Linked DNA regions of Mus musculus. The protein of the gene in region 1 interacts with the protein of each later gene in a biochemical or structural test. Links are inferred from orthologs where the notes say so. Each region holds a gene or a part of one and is shown in the gene's direction. Other genes may lie near its edges.

Region 1 (5,092 bases):
AGAGCCTGTAGCCTGCAAAGTGAGGCACATGCCTCCCTCCTGACCTGGATCCTGCTGCCACATGAGACACGTGACCTCAGAGGGACCTCGTTACCCTCACTAGCTTATAAAGGCTTTGTTCATATTTTCCTGCCACATAAGCAATATCTGTATTTCCACAGAAGGCTTAGCTTGTTTACTAGATGTTTCAAGGACACAAGATGTCAGTTCTGAGTATTTTATCGCTCACTCCTGCTGATGAGGACCCTGAGCTTGCTGCTGCTTGAGAAGACTGAAGCAGTGTTTGTCCAATACCGCTAGCCTTGTGTAAGGATACAATGTATCGGACCCTCTGCTCCCAGTATCACAGAGGCTCTCTAGGGTAGGCTCTGTCCCACGGTCTACAGATAAGGAAACTGAGGCGGTGGAGTTCCAGGTCACATGAGAACTAAGTGGCAGAGCAACCTCCACCCTGCCCCTCTGCTAAAGTTGAGTTATTTAGCAATTGAATGGTGAAAGTCATAATAGATAGATAGATAGATAGATAGATAGATAGATAGATAGATAGATAGATAGATAGCCTGGGTGCTTGCTGACCTAGAGGAGGGGGGCTGATAAGTGTAGAAGTGTGGCTTCTCCAGCTGCTATAGACCCAAGCCTTTTGTCTATACATGCTACAGCACTTCTCTGGAGGAGGGGCCTGCAGCTGGCCAAGTTTATTACCTAGGCTCAAGGCAGTGTGGTTCTGCTAGACACAGGCCGAAGGGGTAACAGGAGCCAGTGTTTAGCACCACCTTCTCCTGCTGGGACAGGAGCTAAAGGCCACTCTTGGTAACAGAATACTGTCTAATGTGACAGTAAGATGGCCCAGGGGGACAGTCACAGGTGTGACCACATCACAAGAGGACAGTATAATAGACTTGTTCCCTGTAGTCTTTTCGTAGTGAGCGGGCTGATAAGCATCTTTATATAATTAATTAATCTGTAAACTTTAGAGTGAGAGGTGCAAGTCAGTCAAGTAACCATATAGTCACCAGTTGTACTTTTTCATATTTTTTTCCTTTCTAGATTTTTAAGATGCATGCCTGTGTGTGGGTATGTGCATGTAAGTGCAGTTGTGTGTGGAGACTGGAGGCATCAGATTCTACTGGTTGTGAGTTGCCCAACATGGGTGCTGAGAACCAAATCCAGGTCTTCTGGAAGAGCAAGTGCCCTAACCACTGAGCTGCCTCCAGCCCTCACGGAGTGTCCTTGGTATTAATTTTCTAGTGTGTGACTTGGCCAGTTTCAGTTTCACTGTAGCACTTCCTACATGTGCACTGTAGCTTGCAGTACTCTGACAGCATGATTGGTACTCATAGCTTCTGCTCCTCCTGGCCCCGGTGCTATTGAGTCTTTAGTGTGGGCTCGTCCACAGGGCAGCTCTTGCCAGCCAGCATCCAGACCTTTCCATTTGCCACCTCAGGGTGGTGTGCTCCCTGAGCTCAGAGCTGGTGCCTACTGAGATCTGAGCCACACTTCCCAGTGCTGCCCCCGGAGGCCCTGCACTGTTCCCCGTGGCTGCAGGCACTCCGTCTAGCTGGCTGTGTGCTGGAATGGGCATTGTCCAAGGCCAGGCTCTGGGTAGAAGACAGAGATGGACTCTGTCTTCGAGAAGCTTAAAGTCCACTGGAACTGCTGACGCCATCATCCATTCGTTCAGTGAGTGAGTTAGCTGCAGCTCTGCTTCCCAAAGAGTTTGAAAGAAGGGTTGAGGGACAGACACAGTCTGCAGGGAAGCCCCAAAACGAGGCTTCCCTGTGCTCAGGAGGGCTTTAAGGAGGTGGTGGACCTACACAGGAACCCTCAGAGTTGCCTGTCTCTCGTATTCCATCCCAGGGTGAAGACCCAAGTCTAGGTTTCATTGAAGTATGAAGTCCAGGGTTGGGGTTTCTTATGCTTCTGGTCACGCTGTGACACAGGATCTGGTGTGGCTGTGGTCTCTCCTCATTGGCCTTTGTCCAGCACACTTAGGATGAGAGAGGGGTCCTCCCAGTCACACATTTGTTAGCATTGCCCAGGATAAACTTGTCCCATATGTGAAAAATATATATTTGTTAGAATAACAGATTTGTACAGTCAAAAAAACCTAAACCTAAAACCAAAAGTTTTTCAGTAAAAAACCTCCCAGCTTTCCTTATGTTCCTGCTTGCCTGCCTTCTCTTCAGCCACTACCACTGGTTTTGATGAGTTGTTGAAGACTCATGACCACAGAAGCACATGCATGTGGATTCTTGCTTTCCTGCCCTGTCTGTGCAGACAGCGTCCTCAGCTCAGATCGCTGCCATAGAGATCCGGCTCAGGCTTTTTCAAATGGCATAGTCGTCTCCTATGTGACTATACCTGAGCTTAGTGACCAGTTCCCAGCACTGGCTGGTTGGGTTGTGTCCACCTTTGCTAATTTATGTCTCTGTCTCTATCTCTCTATATATATATCTCTATGCCTCAGTGAATAACTCCAAACTTAAATTCTGTGCACAGCAATGATACAATGGTATATATTCAGTGACTTAGAAAGAGAAATGCAGGTTGAGGACTTTTCTCAGGGCATGTCATCTTCTGACTCAGGAGTACCTGACTTTAAAAAGATCCTAATAGAGCAGATTTTACTTATACCTATGCCCAGAATTACAAATGGAATCAACCTGGAAGCCCCTAGTCCTGCTCCTCACTGGGTTCAGCGCAAGTGCCTGACCTCTCACACTGTCATTGCTGGCTCCAGCTTTTGCTGGGCTGGGCACTCATGCACTTCAGAACCTGTTGTGGGAGTCTCAAGTGCTTCTGTGCTCCTGTTTCTACAGGCGTGCTCACCTCCGCCTGTGCCTAGAGAAGCTAAAGGGATTGGTACCGCTGGGCCCTGAGTCAAGCCGACACACCACTCTGAGCTTGCTGACAAAAGCCAAATTGCATATAAAGGTAGGTGCCTTGACCTGCTGCCCCGCCCCTTCTGACCTGGCAAGGGTGTTGGGACTGCATGAAGGACAGATAGATGGAAATGTGTCTCCAGGATGGTCTCTGGGCTCCTCCCACCTGCCTCCCAAACCCAGTTAAAGGGTCCAGTCAGAAATTCAGGCCCTGGTGCCTCTAGCCACTGGGCTCCCCACCATCACCAGGACCTAAGCATTTCACAGCCTGACCTGCCCCTGTTTGCACCCACCACTTTCTCCTGAAGGAGAACCCACAGTCTCCTACATGCTGTATAACACACACACACACACACACACACACACACACACACACACACACACACACACACACACACATACACACACACACACACACACACACACATCTGCTGTACCCTAGGAAGCAAACCCATTGTAGCTCACTTACTCTAAATGCTTCAGGGACGTGGGACAAACTGTCACTCTCCTGCCCCTGTAGCCACATGGCAGGGTATGCTGCCTACTGCAGCCCTCTCCATTCCTGTCTTGTTGTGTTCTAGAGGCAGGGCCATCATACCTGCCATTCCTTCTGTGGTACCTTGCCCTCACTTCTTTATGCATAGCCTTTCCTCATGCTGCAGGTCTCTGTACAGGGCTGGCTCCCAGTGCCAGAAGTCTCCGCTGCCCTTTCCTGAGTGGGATCCCTGACTCACTGACTGACATGGGCCACATCTATCAGTGTCCTATGTGGTGGCTGGGTGTTTCCAGAATTGTAATGTAGCTCCATGGGGGAACCAGGTCTTTGTACATACATGTGTCCCAAGCACCACCTGATCTCTCTCTGCTGACTCTGTGTGTGCTACTGAGCCAGAGCCAGCATCACCATTCAGCAATAGCTTGGTTCGACACATACCAGCTTACTAACAGCTAGCAGCCTGAGTACACACAGCCCTGGGAGAGCCTCAGTTGGAAGCAAAACCGCCACAATTAAACACTCTCGTTAATTATCTGCCGAATTGGAGAGCTGGGGGCAGATTTGTAGGAATAAGTCGTCTGTGGAATCATATGTCCAGATGCCTCTGGACAGTTCCAAGCCAGGACTTTAACATGGCTCTGCTCTCCTGGTAACAACAGAAGTTAGTTGGGGTTTTTGTAGCATGAGAACTCACTTTGTACTGGGGACTGTGCTGGGATAAACCTCTTTTTAAACAGAAGAGTTTTGTAGCTCATGTGCCATGTGTCTTTCAGTTCTGAGAGGTGTTCAGATGGTGGTTGAAACTGTCCAATTCTCCCTGCATCTCCATGACAGGCCAGCCCCACAGCACATGACTGCTGACGTTAGCCAGAGCCCATGGTGACTGGCCAGCCAACTCCTGCTCTAGGAGAGATTACAAGGGACACACCACCTGCCTCCCAGGGATGCTTAGCGCATTTTCCTGCTGTTGGGGCAGGTACAGGCTCTTTGCTTGTGTAGAATACCCATTGGCTCCAACAACCACCCCTTTGACTTGCAGAAACTTGAAGACTGTGACAGAAAAGCTGTCCACCAAATAGACCAGCTTCAGCGGGAACAGCGGCACCTGAAGCGGCGGCTGGAGAAGCTGGGTGCCGAGAGGACTCGGATGGACAGCGTGGGCTCTGTGGTGTCTTCGGAGCGCTCTGACTCTGATAGAGGTGAGTCGCACCTACCAGAAGGGCTTCAGGCAACAGAGCCAACCCCAGAGCAGATAAGCTAGGGCTCGTAGGGGTTGTCAAGATGGCTCAGTGGGTGAAGGTGCCTGCAGCTAAGCCTGAGCTGGAACTGGGCATAGCAGTGGAAGCGAAAACCAACTCCTAAAAGTGGCTCTCTAGCCTCTACCTGTGCACATACACACTAGATGAAAGTGCAGTAAAAACTATAAAAAGACAGGGCTCAGGCCCTCGGGAGCTGAGCAGCAGGGCTGGTATAGCCTCCCCTCTGTAAGAGTTAGGTAGCCAAGCCCAAGGAGGGATGAAGGAACTCTGAGGTACACTGAGGGCTGTGTCTCATCCTGCAGAAGAACTGGACGTGGACGTAGACGTGGACGTGGACGTGGATGTGGAGGGCACAGACTACCTCAATGGGGACCTGGGCTGGAGCAGCAGCGTGAGTGACTCGGACGAGCGAGGCAGCATGCAGAGCCTGGGCAGTGACGAGGGCTACTCCAGTG
Region 2 (5,555 bases), on another chromosome or scaffold:
CTGTTGTTTCATGTTGCAATTTTTAGGTTACTTTTGAGTTGCTTAGGAATTGTTTTATTTAATTCACCAAACAGAAGTAATACGTGTACTGCGTGAGAGTTCGGAGCCTTTGTATTCAGCAGTCTTAGTGTTTTAGTGAAGCTTGCTGGATAGTCCTGTGACTCTGTTGTCTAAAGAGACACCATTACATTTCTCAAAATAAATATACTAAATAGCCACTAAGGACGACACACGTTCTCTCCACATTGGCATTGAGAAGATTCCCCCTATATGGTAGAACAGTTAGGTGCCAGGCAGCTTGGAAGAAATGGCATTCTGGAAAAATCTTGTACATCTTTACAGTAAGGTGTTTCTTTCTCCATGCTAGGCCTCGCAGGAAGTTGGGTTGCTGATTGGTGAGATGAGTAAATGGAGATGCATTTTCTGTGCAGTAAGTTGAAAGGAAATACTCTGGAGAGAGTGCCTCGATTCTGAACGGGTCTCCTTAGCTTCGTGTCCTGTCAGTTTAGCGACTAAGCTTGCTTTCAACATTGAGCTGCACTAAGATACACATGCTTGTTAGTGTGAGAGGTGGACAAATTATAGGTGACGGGTTTGCTGCTGTCTGCCAGCGTGGAAAAGTTTGGTGGAACTACAGCTGAGACTGAGTAAAAGCCTTGGCCTAGACATCAAAGCTGGAAGCAATTTGGTACTGTAGTTCCTGGTGAGCAGCTGTGGACCACTCTCTGGTATCACAAAGCCCCTAGTACTTCTCTTAGTCTGGGACATGCTGATGAAGAAGGGCTTTATGACAGAAACTGCAAATCCTGTGTTACAGAGCAAGCAGTGTCCAGCATCTACTCCTGAGGATGTATAGGGGAGTCATTTGGGAACCTGTGACATCGCCCAAAAAGACCTCTGTGATCTATTCCACAAGGGTACCACCGGTCCCAGTGTCAGCATGACCAGACACTTCTCGGTATAGGCAAGAGAGTGTACACTCACCTGAATTGCTTTGTTCCGCTGTTGCTGTTGATTGCTGTGCTGCTTTAAAAAGACAGCTCCTGGGAGGATCTCCAGCACCTTCCGCCGAGGATCTTTACCTGGTTTTTCTTTCCTCAGTTCTGAAAGCTTGGCCTTTTGGGAAAGAGCTGTCAGCAAGAGAAGATGGCTAACAAGACAGTATAATAGCCTTCCCATTGGCCCATCACACAAAGCTAGGGGGTATCTGCTTCATCTTCAGCATAGAAATACTTTGCAGAGAGAACCCTCAGCCTTGTGTGAAGGTGTGTCAAGTTTTCCTATGCTCTGTAAGCACTGGAAATGTCACTTAATTCAGAGTTGCCTGGAATTAGGCATGTGAGTTGGGCATGTTTTTCACGTGTGCTTGCAAATGAGGCCAGGGGAGGGGAAAACAAGTCCATCCTTGCGGCTCTCTGTTTAGGCAGAACAGCCGAGGGTAGGCATGGCAGGATTGCTTGCTCTAAGACTCCCCCGTTCTGCTAGTTAAATTGGGTCTGGAACCACCACAGAAATTCCATCCACTGCTTGGAGAACAACAGTCCCCAGCCCAGGCTTTCTACCAGGCAGTGGCCTGCCGCCTTTCGTAGCCGAGCCAACTTCTAACTTGGCTGGCTCCCCAGATGAGAAGCCAAGATTTCTGCTCATGGTCTACGGCCAAGTTCACTACAGTCTTCCAACCAAACGACTTGTTGTCCATCTGAGTCCTTTCAGTGCTCAGCAAACGGGAGGGGGTGGTGCATCTTGTGGGATGATTTTGTTGTTTGGTTAAACTTAGCTCCTTGCTTGCAGCACAGGCCCACAGGAAACCAAGACCAACTTAGCTCTAACTGCTTGGGATTTTTAGGGTTCTCCCAAAAAGAAAACAGACAATTAGGATTTTATTTGTATTAACAGGAGGGATTGTGGGTAACTGGGGTCACTGCTTCCGTGCACAGCTCTTAAGCTGGGAGGAGGGCCAGGAGTCAGGGTGATTTAGTAGACAGGAGTATCTTGGACTGCTGCTGAAGACCAATTGATTTGCATGTAAATAGACCATCTTGGAAATTAGAGTAAACACCAGAGGTCTAGTCCATGCCAAATGCTGGTCCTAGGTCTCTTGGGCTCCTCAGGTACGGATTGTGACAGGCCAGTTTACCTCAAGCTGTCTCACACTGCCGCTGGAGGGTGGCTGTAGTTATCTTGCCCAGTGTTGTATAATATCCTCTAACCTCAGGTACCTGGTTTTTCAAGCTTAATTGTCCTTTCAGATTCCTTTTCTATTTTCCATATAACTAGTTGAGAAAATATTTTGCTTAACAGTGAACTGAGGTTTGAGAAGGGTTAACTTTACAAGTCCTTCAGGACAGTGGCTGTAATGGGGATTTGTAGCCGATTAACAACTGTAGATAGGCACCTAGGGATCAGGAGAAAAGTGCAGACCTCAGTGAGTCACAGACTTTAGAATTTGATAGGAGAAGAATTTCAGGTCCTTTTCTTCTCATGGCTCTGTCTGATTCTGTCTGACCATCTTTTCTAGTACAAGGATTCTTTGAAAGCAGCATTTAACTTGGTTTTCTCTTGTTGCTGCATTTTCAAAATTCCTGGCGCTCTGGGCTTAGTGGCCAGGTCACTCTAATGTGTACATAGGTTCTTTAGGCTAGCCTAGCCCAGCCTGCTCTAGTCAGGGTAAAATCTCAAAGAGTGTGTGTGTCTATAATGCCTGAAGTGTAGGTGTGGTGAAGTTTTTGCTGAAATAGGTCCTTGTGTTCTGTTCAGAGGGAGATGAAGCTCCTTAGCACGGTGCCCTGCTCTCTTTCCTTTCCTGATTGGTTGGCAGTCCTGGCCCAACAGCTGACTGTTTATAATTCCAAGCAGGAAAGGTTAAAGGCTGGTTAGGTTAGGGTATTTAGAAAACTGCCAAATGGGCCTGCCCTGCTGCAGGGGCCTGAGGGACTTTACCAAGAGCATGTAGGGGTCAGAAGGTCTGCTGCCCAAGAACTGCCTTTCTGGCTCAGTCTGTGTGAGAGGAAACTGAATGTAATTGACAGTCTGTCAGCTCTGCCATAATGAGCTCAGGTGCAACTGTGTTTTCTAGAGGATTGGTGCTCTCTTGTATGACTTGATAAGAGGATATGCTAGTGACCTTTATCAGGAGGGTGTCAGCGGAGCCTCAGGATGATGGGTTTCCTGTGGACAGAAGCAGCCCACGCCCCAAGTCTCACGGTAGAGGTAACCATAGCTTATGAAGTGCCCGCTGGAGCTTCCCTTAGTAACATTCCAACCACAGACTGGCAGCTGCTCCATCGTGTAGGTTGGGGACACTCACTGGAGAGTCACTCTTTGTCCCTGAATAACTTTGATTTTCCTTGTGCATGAGCTGGAGTCATCGTGCTACTTTGGATGTTCCTGTTGCAAGCCTTGCTCACCCTTTCTCCCCTTTAACAGAGCCTAATTCTGGAGACTCCTTCCTAACTACCCACCTCACAACAAATTTTCCCAGTCCACTTGCCAGGGACAGCGCTGACTGCACACACTTCCAGGCTTGGCCGCATCCACCTGTAAAGAAGTACACTCCTGACATGCTCTTTCTTCACTCTCCTAGGCTGACAAGCGGGCTCACCATAATGCACTGGAACGAAAACGTAGGGACCACATCAAAGACAGCTTTCACAGTTTGCGGGACTCAGTCCCATCACTCCAAGGAGAGAAGGTGAGTTTATTGACAAAGCCAGTTGGCCCATCAGCAGCTTGGAACGGACTAGAACATCCCTTCTGTAAAGAAACACAGTCAGGTGGCATGGTCTCTCTCTTTTTTCTTTTCTTTTCTTTTTGATTCTTTGGAAGATCCCCACACATTCTTAATTATCTTTAGCAAAAGCAATGTCAGCTCTAATAGCTCTTGTCAGGACATCCCTTTCAGAGTTGGAGATGCTGTAGTCCATTCCTTTTTTATTTGGTAGTGCTGGGCTTGAACCCAGGGCCTTGTACATGCTAAGCAAATAAATTAGTCACTCATGACATTACTATAACTATATCCTGTACTATGTAACATGGTCCATAATTAGTTTGGGATCACTAAAGATTCTCCCAGGCCAGCAACACCCTAAACCTCTGTGGGAATTTCTCTTGTGCAGTTCAACATTAGTACTTACTTGGTGTAAATGAACACTTTGAAGCAGGTCTGTGAACTGCCTGGGCACCAGTGATTTTCAGTTCTGACACATATTCTTCCCAACATATGTAAAGAGCATTGTTAGCTGTGGACCAAAAAAGTGAGACATGTTCATATGAGAGAGAATAAAGCAGTTATTCTCATCCTTCCTGGTGGCCTTTTGAAGCTTGTATTTTCCCTGGAGAGGTAGGAGCCAGCTGTTTCTAGCTTCAAAACCCAAAAGCTTTGAGCAAAAGCCTGTGGGTTAGGGTCACTCCTTAGAATAAAGAAAAAAACATTTGTTTGCACAGTTAGTTCTACCCTTGACACAGTGTAGCAACAGGCTGCTTTTTGTAGCCCCCTGGGTCAGCTTGTTTGAAAGAGCCTCACTGTATAGTCAGACTGGCCTGAATCTGGGATTCAGCCCATCTAGCCTGTTAGCATTACACCTAGCTTAAGGAACACGATTTAATAAAACGGTGTTTACTCTAGGTATGCTTCAAATGGCTTTACTGCTTTGGTTCTCTGCTAAGTGTCCTGAATTTGCTTTGTTATCCAAGATTACGTTTTTCATGTTTATAAAAAGTTGAAAAGCTATGTTTTCTATTTTGTCTATAATGTGGCCTTCTGTGTGGTTGAAGTATGGAGTAAGTCTAAGCTTACAGGAAAACACAAATAGGCCATGTGAATGCCGTATTACAAAGCCAGAATTTTGCTGTACGTTAAGCCCACTTGGTATATACTTGATTTAATGGCCTTGAACCAAGGTACTTACCGGAATAACAGCATTCCTGAGTATAACACTGAGCACCACAGGAAATCTTTATGACTGAGAGACGCACCCTTTGTGCAAGAGATTTATCTCTGATGCATACCTGACCTGCGGACACTTGGTGCTTATTCCGTATGCTAGAGTGTCAGCATCACTTGGTGAGCTTCTGGGCTAGAGCTGCCTTCATCTAAACCTGGGGCTGGGGATGTGCTTCTCAGTGGGAGGGCTGTGACCCGCCCACTTCCAGAGCCACATGAACTCCTGGGGTAAGCCAGGCAGGCAGGCTCATCTGAGGAGTTCTGAAGAGTGAGACCACTGAAAGTGTAGCTCACGAGCCACAGCTGCAGCGCTTCCTTCCTTGGCCTCTTCCCTTGCTGTTACATTCTTCCTTAACACCTTACAGGTTTACGATACTAGGTCCTCTTGCCGCGTTTCTTTGAGGAAGTTGAAGTTTGACTTTGCTAGCTTACAGATGGGATGAGTAGTTTGTCATCCGTGGTCCTTTCACCTACTCCATTCAGCAAACATCCTTGCAGGGTCTACACACACCAGCTACTGTTCTTAACAAAAATAGATGTTTTATTTTAGCAAGGAAATAATAGAAATTAAATAATCACTAAAATTAGGAATACTGGCTAGGCATGGTGATAG

What was found. The genes of interacting proteins can lie anywhere in the genome.
Region 2: the proteins of Mxd1 (region 1) and Max form a complex in vitro, tested with the Homo sapiens proteins (4 studies listed by BioGRID, with this or other methods). The link is inferred for Mus musculus from reciprocal best matches to the Homo sapiens genes MXD1 and MAX.

Annotation. Positions count from the first base shown.
Region 1 is NC_000072.6:86,650,927-86,656,018, reverse strand, and holds part of Mxd1 (max dimerization protein 1), read left to right. Parts: exon of another isoform or gene 1-2,065; intron 2,066-2,819; coding exon 2,820-2,934; intron 2,935-4,417; coding exon 4,418-4,577; intron 4,578-4,939; coding exon 4,940-5,092. UniProt on the Homo sapiens protein: Component of a transcriptional repressor complex together with MAX. In complex with MAX binds to the core DNA sequence 5'-CAC[GA]TG-3'. Antagonizes MYC transcriptional activity by competing with MYC for MAX binding.
Region 2 is NC_000078.6:76,951,305-76,956,859, reverse strand, and holds part of Max (protein max), read left to right. Parts: intron 1-3,583; coding exon 3,584-3,691; intron 3,692-5,555. UniProt on the Homo sapiens protein: Transcription regulator. Forms a sequence-specific DNA-binding protein complex with MYC or MAD which recognizes the core sequence 5'-CAC[GA]TG-3'. The MYC:MAX complex is a transcriptional activator, whereas the MAD:MAX complex is a repressor.